Nothobranchius furzeri: one gene and its partners. The protein of the gene in region 2 purifies or fractionates together with the protein of the main gene of each other region. This does not show direct contact. Links are inferred from orthologs where the notes say so. Each region holds a gene or a part of one and is shown on either strand. Other genes may lie near its edges. The genes, in order: cullin-5, cand1 and dcun1d3.

Region 1 (4,237 bases), on a different chromosome or scaffold from region 2:
AGACCCTTTGTTCTGGTGAAAGAAGTAAAGGGAACTACATTACATCGCTCCCTGGACATTGTCATGTTTTAACTACCTGCCATTTCTTAATATTGGTTTCCAATTGCATTAATTCCAAGTTTATACCAGATTTTCTGATGATCCTTCAACTTTTAAATGACTACAAACTTTGAAAAATGACAACATGTGGTGCCTTTTAAGGAAATACTCATTAGAAGAATTACCTGAGATTTTTAGAACAAAGTGTAGCTTTTGACCAGTGGCGCCCCCAGAAAACTTTCATTGGAGGGGCCAGTGGAAATTTTGGGGTGGCACTCGTAATGAGTCCTTTTGGTAACTCTGGGGGAGTTTAGCCTGTAGTCATAGATTGTATTACCCCTTTGTTCTTTTTCCTAAAAAACAATAGCCCCATGCGTCTAACACACTTACCTCAAATTTCAGAAACACGAACCAAAAAAAAGACAAAAGTTCAAACATTTTTTGGGGTTATTGTTTCAAAATTGTACTGTTTAAGATTTTTAAAACTATTTCTGATTTTTACAAAAACACCCCCCAAAAAATTCTTAGGGTACGGTGCTCTCATCCTTTCGTTTCACCTTCTACACCTTGGACCTACACCTACTGCTGCGGGGGCAGCAGTAGCTCAGGAGGTTGAGCGGGTTGGTTGTCCAGTAATCAGAAGGCTGCAGGTTTGATCCCGGCTCCGGACAGAGAATTCTCCTGTTTTGTCCTTGGGCAAGACACCTAACCCACCTTGCTTGCTGGAGGGGGTCGGAGAGATCCGGTGGCACCCGTGCTTGGCAGCCTCGCCTCCGTCAGTGAGCCCCACGGCAGCTGTGGCTACATCCTAGCTCACCCCACCAGCATGTCAATGTGTGTATGAATGGATGAATGAAACACTGTAGTGTAAAGTGCTTTGGAGTCCTCAGCCAACAATTTTCCAAAGGTGGCCATGGCACCCTCTGGGCATCCTTTGGGGGCACCACTGCTTTTGACAAACTTCTGGAACAAGGAGGAAACTCTGCCTGCCAAAAGTGAAACCAACGCCAAAGTGACAAAAACTGCTGTGCCCCCCTCATCCACTAGGGGCTGGCTCCAGAAAGGAGCAAGTTCCCATTGACTGCCATGCCAACTTCACAGCAAAAATAAGCAAGTTTACAGTCTGGTTCAAAAAACATTTTAGGTTTAATAGGTCAGGTTTACCACCATGACAACTCTGAAGGATGTACATTTAGTTTGCAACTCATCCACTTAGATGTAATAAAATTGAATTTATGAATACTTATGGCTGGGGCGTGTCTATTTAACTGACATGTTGCTCATCCTGCTTGCTCTTGGGAGGGCCTCAGCCTCACATTTAGTGTGAGCCTATAAGGCAAAGGTAGCAGAGGTGCTCAGCCACAGTTTTCTGGCTAAATGCACCTCTGTTAGCTTCGGTTAGCTCATAGCTACATCAGTCCAGAGTTTGACGGCAAATGGCCTGTCTTTGGTATAGCACCTAGAGTCCTAAGCCCCTCCAAGGCACTTTTCAACATAATCAGTCATTCACCCATGCACACACATGTTCACACCCTGGTGGTGATGAGCTACAATGCAGCCACAGCTACCCTCGAGTGCAGTAACAGAAGCAAGGCTGCTGAACATTGGCACCACCAGCAGGCAATGTGCTTTGCCCAAGGATATGACAACAGCAACAGAATGAGCGGGACTTAAACCTGCAACCTTTTAATTAAGGGGTTGACACTTAACTCCTCTGCCACCATCACACTACCCTTGATGGTGTCAGCTGCCCCCACCCTCTCAGCACCATTTTAGTTTTTCTGGAAGGGATAAGCCATGTGACGCAGCCAAGGTTCTGGTGGTGGGAACTGCCCACTGGGCTGCAGTTCAGCTCTTTAGAAACCTAGGGTTGATGGCGTGGAGGGTTTGTCAACTATATAAACAGCCAATGTGCTGGAATCACAGTAAATAAAATTACAAGCTATAATTTGTAGTAGTAGCGCCAACATCTGCAGGTTTTGTGCATGACTGATGATTAAAAAACAAAAGTTTGAGATATTTAACTAAAATGAGAAATATTTATCAAGATTATTTGAGGGAAATGTAAAGAAATGGTTTTTTAGGGGATACTTTGAAACTCTGGTTGAAGATTTATTTCTGGAACACATTGTAGTCACTGGATACGATGTTATGGTTTTCCAGATGGATTTTTTACGAGACAAAATGCGCAGATATTCGCTTGTCTGTTGCTCCATGTGTCTTAAAAGGCTGCAGACCCCTGAGCTGCTGAATGACATATGATATTAGGCTGTCGAAGCCAGTGGTCATGTTTCGGCGCTACATGAGCTATTTAGCATCTGTCATTATCTGTTTCCGTGACCTGCTTCATTGTTCCTGCTGTTTTTGAAAATCCGCATTTATCTATGTTGTAAGGCTTCTCTTTTAGCCAGTGAAAAATCTCTGACAAGCAGCTAAATGTTAGCCTGATGTGACTTAACTACCACCAGCTAAAGTCAACACTGACGGTACAGGTGCTGTGAACAGTCCATTAAAGCCGGATTTAAACGCTAGCATCACATAATACAGAATGACAAGCGCTTAAGTGAGCGGCGAACACCAAATATTGAATCGCAGCTCCTACCTTTAGCAAATTAGACGGCGCCGCCATGTTCCCTCAACTTATCCTCTCGAAAATTCTCGCGAGAATGAAAAATGGGGTCTAGCTGTGAAATTCTGTGGTGAATAAACGTTGAATCTGTAGTCCTTCGGCAATTTCTGAGGCTACAAACTGAAACAGAAGAAACCTGAACTGCGTGTTAATGAGTGAGTGTGTGTATGACCGATTGGGTTGTAAAGACGAGGCTGAAGCATATAAATATACGGGCTGAAGTTAGCTTCCGATTCGAGAAACGGCTAAAGGGCCATTACACCCAATTTTTCTCTACTCTGACCATCTTTAATCTGCTCTAGCTCAAAACAACGCCCACGCTATTTAAACCTGTTCTATATTGTTCTACTATAAAAGCAGATCAAATAAAACACAGTGTGGGATTTGTGAAACCTTTTCCTGATTTGTGAAATTTCAACAACGCCAGATTTACGCGTTTTTTCAGCAACTGGCCAACACAGCTGTAGCTCAAGATGTACAGCCCCTACACTATTCAAACCTGTTCTACATTATTCTACAATAATAGCAGATTGCATACAACCTTGTTTGGGATTTGTGAAACCTTTCCCCAATTTGTGAAACTTCAACAAAGCCAGATTTATGCGTTTTTTCAGCATGGAACAGCTGTAGCTCAAAAACTACTACAGCCACACTGTTAAAACCTGTTCTAGATTATTCTGCTATAATAGCAGATTGCATACAACCTTGTTTGGGGTTTGTGAAACCTTTACGTGATTTGTGAAACTTCAACAAAGCCAGATTTATGCGTTTTTTCGGCATCTGGCCAACACTGTAACAGCTGTAGCTCAAGAAGTACAGCCCCTACACCATTCAAACCTGTTCTACGTTATTCTACTATAATAGCAGATCAAATAAAACACAGTGTGGGATTTGTGGGACCTTTCCCTGATTTGTGAAATTTCAACAAAGCCTTAAAAGATTGGTCTGCGCATGCCCCATAGTAGCACATGTCAACGAGCACGGATAGTCCGACTATCAAGAAAATATGCCTCCAAAACAATTCCTCCGCTCCTCCATTGTTCTAACAGCGTAGTCTTTTTCTCCCGGGCCTGGAGTGGTCTAGCTGCAGTCGCAGCCACTACAAACTACGCCCCCTACAAAACACTCCCCTATGGCCCCTACAAAACACGCCCTTACAAAATAATAATAATAATAATACATTTTATTTCAAAGCGCCTTTCAGGACACCCAAGGTCACTTTACAGAAAACACGTAATAAAATACAATAAAACAATAATAAAACCCAAACAAGAAAAAACAAAGAGAGAAACAGTTCAATAAAATCAGAGGTTGTAGGCAGATTTAAACATGTGTGTTTTGAGTTTTGATTGGAAAAGGGTAAAACTGTCGATGTTCCTGATGTCTGGGGGAAGTGAGTTCCAGAGTCGAGGAGCAGAGCGGCTGAAAGCTCTGCTCCCCATGGTAGCGAGACGGGCAGAAGGAACCGCAAGATGGATGGAAGAAGAAGATCTGAGTGAACGGGATGGGGTGTGAATACTTATAAGGTCTGAGATATATGGAGGAGAGAGGTTGTGGATAGCTTTGAAG
Region 2 (3,647 bases):
AGAAGACGTGTCTGTGCAGCTGGAGGCCCTGGACATCATGGCCGACATGCTCTGCAGGTCTGTAAGCACGTGTCAGGTGACCTGATGGGATGATGAGTTGTTAACTGAATATAAAACGAGGTGAAACGTTTCTGACGGGACCTCGTCTCCTCCGCTCTGGTTCTGCTTTAGGGTTGTCACAGTGTGAAAATTTAACCTCACGGTTATTGTGACCAACATTATCACGGTTTTCTGTATTATCGCGGGATTTTTTTAAACGTGTTACATTTTCAGACAACTACATAAACCCTGTATATCAGGAAAATATTGTCCTCAGTTTGTGTCTAAATTTTGCCTAAAATGTGTTATTTTGTAATTATGTTGTTTATTTGTTTACATTTTTTCCCTTTACTCTTTAAAATACCAATATTTGCCAATAACTTCTTATTTTTTGTCTGTTTGATGTCATCATTTAAAAATATTAGATCAGATGATACTCAGTACTCAAGTATACTTCTAATCAGATACTTTTTTACCCTTACTTGAGTAATAAACCCTATATCAGGAAAATATCGTCCTCGGTTTGTGTCCTTCCAGTGAGCTTTGCAGATGTGGGAAAATGTCATCAGGGAGTAATCGTTGTTAAATTCATAATTATTCTCGGAGAGAGACCAACTCTTATCTGCCCCTGGGAGTCCCGTAATGCATAGCGTCATTTCAACATGGCGGTGTCCGCGACACGGTTTATATGCAGGTAGCGGCGCTGCGGCTGCTTTATATAGCGACTCGTTGCATTCTCCCTCAAACCAAATCCTCGGATCACGCATTTTAGCTAAAGCGCTAACGTTAGCTTGCCTTGCGTTGACTGTAGAGTTGTGGGTGATGGTCACGCAGATGTGTCATGAGATTTGAAGCGTTGCTGCCTTTCACAGACACTTTTTCTGCACGTGCTGCAAACAGGATAGCCGTCTTCTATCAGCTGTCCCTCGGCATTCTTCAGATATCCAAAAGATGCCCGTACTTCCCACTTTGTCTTCTTTGAGGGATAATAAATGTCCCGAGTGCTGCCGTCTCCTCCTTTGGCCATTATTTCAGCTTTAGCTTCAAGAAAGTTTTGGTTGTAAACAACAAAGTGCGCATGTGCCGCCGGCAACTTCAGCAGATGATACGGTGGCTGGTAAGGGTCACCGCGCCTACACCGCAGCCACGGTAACCCACCGAGATAATCTAGTTTTTAAAAACAAGACGGTTATTATTATTGTCAACCTTTTCTACCGGGGTTTACCGCTACACCGGTTACCGTGACAACCCTATTCTGCTTCTGCTCAAGTTTTTTTTAGGGGAGAAAAAAAACCTAAAATCTTTTGAGGTTCTTTGATATAAATAGCTTCTGGATTGTTTATGATTTGAGTTTATTTCTGTTTGTCCTAGAATAATAACTTTTATCCCTCCGTTAGCGTGACGAGAAGCAGATTCTCGTTTACAGCTGAAAATCTAAAATCTGGTGTTGAAGTTTATTTAAGTCGCTGACCGGGTCTAAAAGGTGAAGCTGACCCGAGACAGACTCATCCCAGGCTAGTCCAGATGTTTCAGCCTTTATCTGTTACAGCTGTGATGACTGTGGCTCACAGCTGGTGAAAACCACACGTTCACAACCTCAGACAACCAGATTATTGTGAGAAGGCTGAATATTCTCTGATCAGCTGATGAGTCCAGAACAGCTGCAGACGGCTCCTGAGCCTTCAGATGCTCTCTCTGTATCTGTTCAGACAAGGCGGCCTGCTGGTGAACTTCCATCCCTCCATCCTCAGCTGTTTGCTCCCCCAGCTCACCTCCCCCAGACTGGCCGTCAGAAAGGTGCGCTTGACCTTTAACCTTTAGGTTGTGCTGAGTTTGACGGTGCCTCTGATTCGCTGTCTTCTGCTCTTTAGAGGACCATCATGGCTCTGGGCCACCTGGTGATGTCCTGTGGGAATCTGGTCTTCATCGACCTGATCGAGCACCTCCTGGCGGAGCTGGGGAGGAACGACAACATGTCCACCACCAGGACGTACATCCAGTGCACGGCGGCCATCAGCAGACAGGCGGGACACAGGATTGGTGAGACGGAGACGGGACAGGACAGGTAGAAGGTGTTTGCTTGACGCTAAAACTAGCTGACATGGAAACCTTGGCCCCGTTTGCTCAGGAGAGTACCTGGAGAAGATCATCCCTCTGGTGGTGAAGTTCTGTAACGTGGACGACGACGAGCTCCGGGAGTACTGCATCCAGGCCTTCGAATCCTTCGTCAGGAGGTAGAGGCCACACCCCGCCGCGTTTCTTCACAGCTCCGCCCCCTTTTTAAGACTTTTTATTTGCAGGTGTCCAAAAGAGGTCTACCCCCACGTTCCCACCATCATTTCCATCTGCCTGCGCTACCTGACCTACGACCCCAACTACAACTTTGATGATGAGGATGAGGATGACAACGCCATGGATGCTGAGCAGAATGATGAAGACTATCAGGGTACTGAACCAGAACCGGACACTTTGGGGTTCTGCTGGTCCGAACCCTCTGTTTTACCTGCTTCGGGGCTAAAGCCACGCCCCCAGCTGAAGCTGGTCATTCAAACCGAAATGTGCCGATCTGAAGCAGGAGGGGGCGTTGTTCTCATGTTGGACTGAATCGTTTCAGGCAGCGACGACGAGTACAGCGACGACGACGACATGAGCTGGAAGGTTCGCAGGGCGGCGGCCAAGTGTCTCGACGCGGTCGTTTCAACTCGTCACGAGATGCTGCCCGAGTTCTATCGCTCGGTCTCTCCTGCACTCGTCTGCCGCTTCAAGGTACCGCCAGACACCCAAACACCTACAGGTTCCTTCCGCCGTGACCTGATGCTCTGACGCCTGTGTGCAGGAGCGAGAGGAGAACGTGAAGGCGGACGTTTTCCACGCCTACCTGTCCCTGCTGAAGCAGACCCGACCGGCTCAGAGCTGGCTTGCTGATCCGGACGCCATGGAGCAGGGAGAAACGCCGCTAACGATGCTGCAGAGCCAGGTGAGAGCGCGGCGTCCCGCCAAACTCTGCAAGTCTGGACAGGTTGAACCCAGCTGGACGTCTCCCAGCACAAATCCACAAAAACGCTCGCTCTCCTTTTTGCTTAGCAACGTTTCCACAGGTTTAGTAAAACATCTGACAGGAATGTTATAGGAGATGGGCGGTTCCCAGTAAAACCAGCTGGAACTAAACCGGAAGGGTTCTGAACCGCAGATGGTAAAATCGGTGCGTAAGGCCGCAGTGCCGTTCCTGACCTGGAGGTGGCACTGCTGCGCCTTTCATGTGTGGTAGTCCAGTCACCGGTTCCCACGGTGACAGGAAATGCTCTCATCCTGTTGTGGGGACCGCAGACAGGTGAAACAGGAAGTGTCGTTGATGATGTCACTCGCCCTCTGCAGGTGCCCATGATCGTTAAGGCTCTCCACAAGCAGCTGAAGGAGAAAAGTGTGAAAACTCGCCAGTGCTGCTTCAACATGTTGACTGAGCTGGTGAATGTCCTCCCGGGAGCGCTGACCCAGCACATCCCTGTACTCATACCAGGTAATCCCACATGGAGCCTCCTCCTCGGGTTACTGGGTTGTCGTCGATGACCTCATCAAGGATCACGTTTGGTTTCAGGCATCATCTTCTC
Region 3 (4,219 bases), on a different chromosome or scaffold from region 2:
ACAGAGTTGGTCACATTATTAAAATGATAAACAAAAAGACATTCAGGCAGTTCAATCCTCAAATTACAATTGGCTCTCTAAGCTTACTGACCCACCAAGTGAATGAGGCAAAAGGTTTCCATTGATGACACACAATGGACGTAGTTTTTGTTATTATAATTTTGTTTGTTTGTTTTTTGGGATGGGGGGTGTCCCCCACACTTTTTTCAATGTAAGTTCTTGTCCTCTGCACTTTTAATCGTTCAAAAACAATATTACGCAATAGGAGTGGGAATGAAAATGACTAACAAGGTGAAAAACAAAGTTGAATTGAAAGCCGGTCTACTCTGTTGGGCTTAGAAAAAATAGAGCTGACATACTTGGTGCTGCAGCCTGCTTCCAGCCTGTTTCCTTCGTGTTTTAGATCATGAACACAGCTGATTTGTTTGATTTAGTGATAAATCGCTCATGTAGACACAAAGGAAGGCTGGGGAGATTTTCAGCAATTAAGATTCAAGTGTTAAAAAGACAAATGCACAGCAAAGAGATGTGTTTTGCTTTTGGTTCTACGAAACGAATACTAGGGGGTGCTAAAGAAAGCAAAACTGCCAAATGTGCCTTTAAAGCAGGATATGTAATTCAGTTTCTATGTCCTGTTAAACCTACTGGTGGCACTGAGTGCTGCGCTTTGAGGTGTGCATGCTTTGTATGAGCAGGTGAGAGATAAATAGGACATAGGAGACTGAAAACTCAAGCTTGTCAAAAGAAAATGGAAATAAAAACAGAAATGGAAATTATTGACTGTGGTTGCTTTTAAAGGCTCACATGATTGGCGTGTGCATTTATTTGAGTATTATTGATATTATAGTCTTTTTAGCTGTAAATTTGAAAATCTATCTAATCTGTAAAACTGCTTATTTAAAGGAGGGAAATTAATGATTGTTTCGCAGTTGTAGTCATTTTTCAACTGTGCATTTTAATAATTGTGGACTAAGAAGGGAAATATTTCACATAGCCCCACCAAGAATTATTTTCAGCAGCCGCCACTGGTGTGGGTGTGTGAAATCTAAACCAAGCTACTCAATGCAAATAAAATTACCCTCCAATTAAAAAATTAAATAAAAAAACTGCTTGCAGATGTGTTTTTTATACACTTGTACCACATGTCTTTACATTTTAAAAATGCAAATGAGCGCATAAATAAATCTGTACAAACTGTTTCCTGTTTTTCCATATCCAGTGTTTTACTCTGGAAAACAAAACAAAAACATTTTTCGACTTCCCCGGTCAAGTCCCAAACTATTATGGTGACAGAATTCGGTGTGACACCCCCGCTCAGATGGAGATCAGCTGTTGGCTGTTAGCACAGACAGAGGAAGTGATGCAGGAAAATGTCCATAATGTAGTTCAATGACTAAAAGGGGGAAGCACAAAGAAATAGGCAGCCTTAGTCCGAGAGTGGCTCTTTAACTTGTTTTAAACTGCGAACCAACAAAAATGAATTCCGATACAAACTCTGACTGCTAATCATTTTATCATTCCCTAAAGGTAGAATAGAGTGCGACTTTATTATGGAAGTTTTTTCTTTTTTTTTCTTTTGGTCAGCTGCCTGCTAGTTTGCTAACAATCTGACGACGAGTTTGCCTCAGTTCGTTACTGCTGGTATTTCGGCCAACTTATTTGCCCACCTTTGTTTTCAGTGACATTTATGAAGTGATGTACATTCAAATGACGCGGCCTACGTTTTCCTAAAAAGGTAAGCTTTTTGAGGATATTTATCTCGTTGTGTCAGCCGGAGAAGACTTAGCATAGCCGCTAGCTAACTTTTAGCTATGTCGACGTGGTCAGGGCCAGGCACTTTAGATGTGGATGTTTAAATGGCCCGGTGACGAGGATGGATCGTTGATCAGTAACCGATTAGCGAGTATTGCCCGACTACTTTAAGCAGTTTAAGCGGACTATTAAACAGAAACTGAATCAGTGTTTACATTTCATTTGGAAGTGCTGTACATGTGCTGTTAAGCTCCCTTGATCCTGATCAAGAGCTTGTCTGTCTCCAACAAGCATAACTTATTCAGATCATCGTTATCAGATGTGTGTTTTTAAACCCAGCAGCTCGTGCTCGGTGACAACATAGCTGCAGATATTACAATTTAATATCTGGGCTGCTCTTCGCCTCGGACAGTTTTTAAGACCAGCTAATCCAGTTAAATTGACGTCTGGATGTGTTACACGGTGATGCCTGTTTATTGTGGAAAAGGGGGCCTTTAGACATCCATCTGATGTCAGAGACTTGAAGTTGGCCAAGTTAGAAGTGTGGGAGACGTGCCTCTACATGTCCAGGACATTGATCTGTACTGGCAATTTGCCCCTGAAGCCTGACTCTTCTTATTAATGTATGACTAGTGACTTTATCAATGATCTGAACAGAGTTGAGTTTGGGTTTAAAAATCAAAGCTGTGTATTTTGCATTAAGCATTGTGAATTATGTTTCATTATAACATGTGAGACTCTTTCTTTGTGGAAGCAAAGAGTTGTACAGAAACCCTTCAAGTGGAGACACAGAAAGATTACCCCACTGTGTAAATATTGCACAATGACTTCTAACTGTCATTTTAGGGTATTTTAAAACTGTCCAATAATTATTTTGCAAGAGGAGAGTTTTGACTTTCTCTTTGTATTGACAAAAATAGTCCCTGCAGATTTGGGAATGAAGAGCTATTGCTTTCTGCTTATGATGACAATATAATGTGTCTTTGCAGCGTTGCTGATCTCAAGGTCACAATGATGGAGCAGAACTGAAAGACAATGCCATCTGACGGAGTGTCTGTAAGTGAAATTGTCATCAGCTGCTCTTTTATGATATAATGCATGAAGTCATCACATCATGTGTGTGTGTGTGTGTGTGTGTGGTAACCATGTCTGTTTTAGTAATTAGGTTAGTGGAAAGAAAATGATGCATTTACAGATTAAACAAACTACCAAATTGATGTTTGCAAGTAAAAACAAAAAGTGATTGATCTGGTTTTACTCATGAATTACAACCACATCTATGAGAATATAAAATATATGAAGCATTGTTGAGCATTCAGTCTGAAAAATGTTAATGGAATGTCTTTCTGATTTTAAAAAAATGATCACAGGATTTGTTGTGTCTGGGTGCAAAGTTACGTATCAATTTTTTAGAGTTTTACTGATAAAAGTTAGTTAAACAATCAAAACATGCAACAAACAGGGCTTTGGAAACTCTCCCTTTATGAAAAAGCAGGTTTGTTTTAAACGATCCCAGACTTCATTAGCGACATATTTCTAAAGCACTTCCCTCATTATTTTCACATGCTGCAACAATAATCTCAGCAACAACAAGACATGAGGCATCAGGTTTAGCTCTAACCTAAATGTAAACTGTAGAAACACTTTTCTGTTGGCTCCCATCATCACATCAGTCAAAGGATTACACAAAATGCTGACATGGCTTCAAGGGATATGACCCAAGTAATTAGCTTGTTCAACTAGCTTAAACAGTAACTACCTACATTCACGGACTGCACACAGTCTGATGAGACATCACCTACAAAGCTGTGTGGGTGGATGGAATGAAATTGATCTGTACATCATTCATATCCCTCATAACACAGATTTTTACTCTGCTCTCTTTAACACCCACCCTGCAGGAGCTGAAGACAAGCCCTGTGTGTTACAAGAGACTGTAACAATTCTGGCTCATTATATATAGGTCCTTCTCAAAAAATTAGCATATTGTGATAAAGTTCATTATTTTCTGTGATGTACTGATAAACATTAGACTTTCATATATATATTAGATTCATTACACACAACTGAAGTAGTTCAAGCCTTTTAATGTTTCTAATATTGATGATTTTGGCGTACAGCTCATGAAAACCCAAAATTCCTATCTCAAAGAAATTAGCATTTTTCATCCGACCAATAAAAGAAAAGTGTTTTTAATACAAAAAAGTCAACCTTCAAATAATTATGTTCAGTTATGCACTCAATACTTGGTCGGGAATCCTTTTGCAGAAATGACTGCTTCAATGCGGCGTGGCACCTGTTAAGGTTGGTTTATGCTTGACGCGTCCGCGAGGTCCGCACGGAAAAGTTGCGTCATTTTGCGTCATTTTAACAACCACGCCCCTCCACCGCGCCTCCGCACGGCCCAGAATTTCCGCAACGCGCACCTCGGAAAATTTCTAACCACGCGGACGGTCGGACGCGGAAA

What was found.
Region 1: the proteins of cand1 (region 2) and cullin-5 purify together in Homo sapiens (affinity purification with western blotting; 8 studies listed by BioGRID and IntAct, with this or other methods). This does not show direct contact. The link is inferred for Nothobranchius furzeri from reciprocal best matches to the Homo sapiens genes CAND1 and CUL5.
Region 3: the proteins of cand1 (region 2) and dcun1d3 purify together in Homo sapiens (affinity purification with western blotting; 3 studies listed by BioGRID, with this or other methods). This does not show direct contact. The link is inferred for Nothobranchius furzeri from reciprocal best matches to the Homo sapiens genes CAND1 and DCUN1D3.

The regions. Positions count from the first base shown.
Region 1 is NC_091750.1:28,012,526-28,016,762, forward strand, and holds the start of cullin-5, read right to left. Parts: upstream 2,892-4,237; 5' UTR 2,669-2,891; coding exon 2,642-2,668; intron 13-2,641; coding exon 1-12. UniProt on the Homo sapiens protein: Core component of multiple cullin-5-RING E3 ubiquitin-protein ligase complexes (ECS complexes, also named CRL5 complexes), which mediate the ubiquitination and subsequent proteasomal degradation of target proteins.
Region 2 is NC_091741.1:34,350,164-34,353,810, forward strand, and holds part of cand1 (cullin-associated NEDD8-dissociated protein 1), read left to right. Parts: coding exon 1-57; intron 58-1,748; coding exon 1,749-1,836; intron 1,837-1,910; coding exon 1,911-2,079; intron 2,080-2,167; coding exon 2,168-2,273; intron 2,274-2,339; coding exon 2,340-2,485; intron 2,486-2,653; coding exon 2,654-2,805; intron 2,806-2,875; coding exon 2,876-3,016; intron 3,017-3,414; coding exon 3,415-3,556; intron 3,557-3,634; coding exon 3,635-3,647. UniProt on the Homo sapiens protein: Key assembly factor of SCF (SKP1-CUL1-F-box protein) E3 ubiquitin ligase complexes that promotes the exchange of the substrate-recognition F-box subunit in SCF complexes, thereby playing a key role in the cellular repertoire of SCF complexes.
Region 3 is NC_091756.1:31,621,300-31,625,518, forward strand, and holds the start of dcun1d3 (DCN1-like protein 3), read left to right. Parts: upstream 1-1,350; 5' UTR 1,351-1,735; intron 1,736-2,741; 5' UTR 2,742-2,808; intron 2,809-4,219. UniProt on the Homo sapiens protein: Contributes to the neddylation of all cullins by transferring NEDD8 from N-terminally acetylated NEDD8-conjugating E2s enzyme to different cullin C-terminal domain-RBX complexes and may play a role in the cell cycle progression by regulating the SCF ubiquitin E3 ligase complex, after UV damage.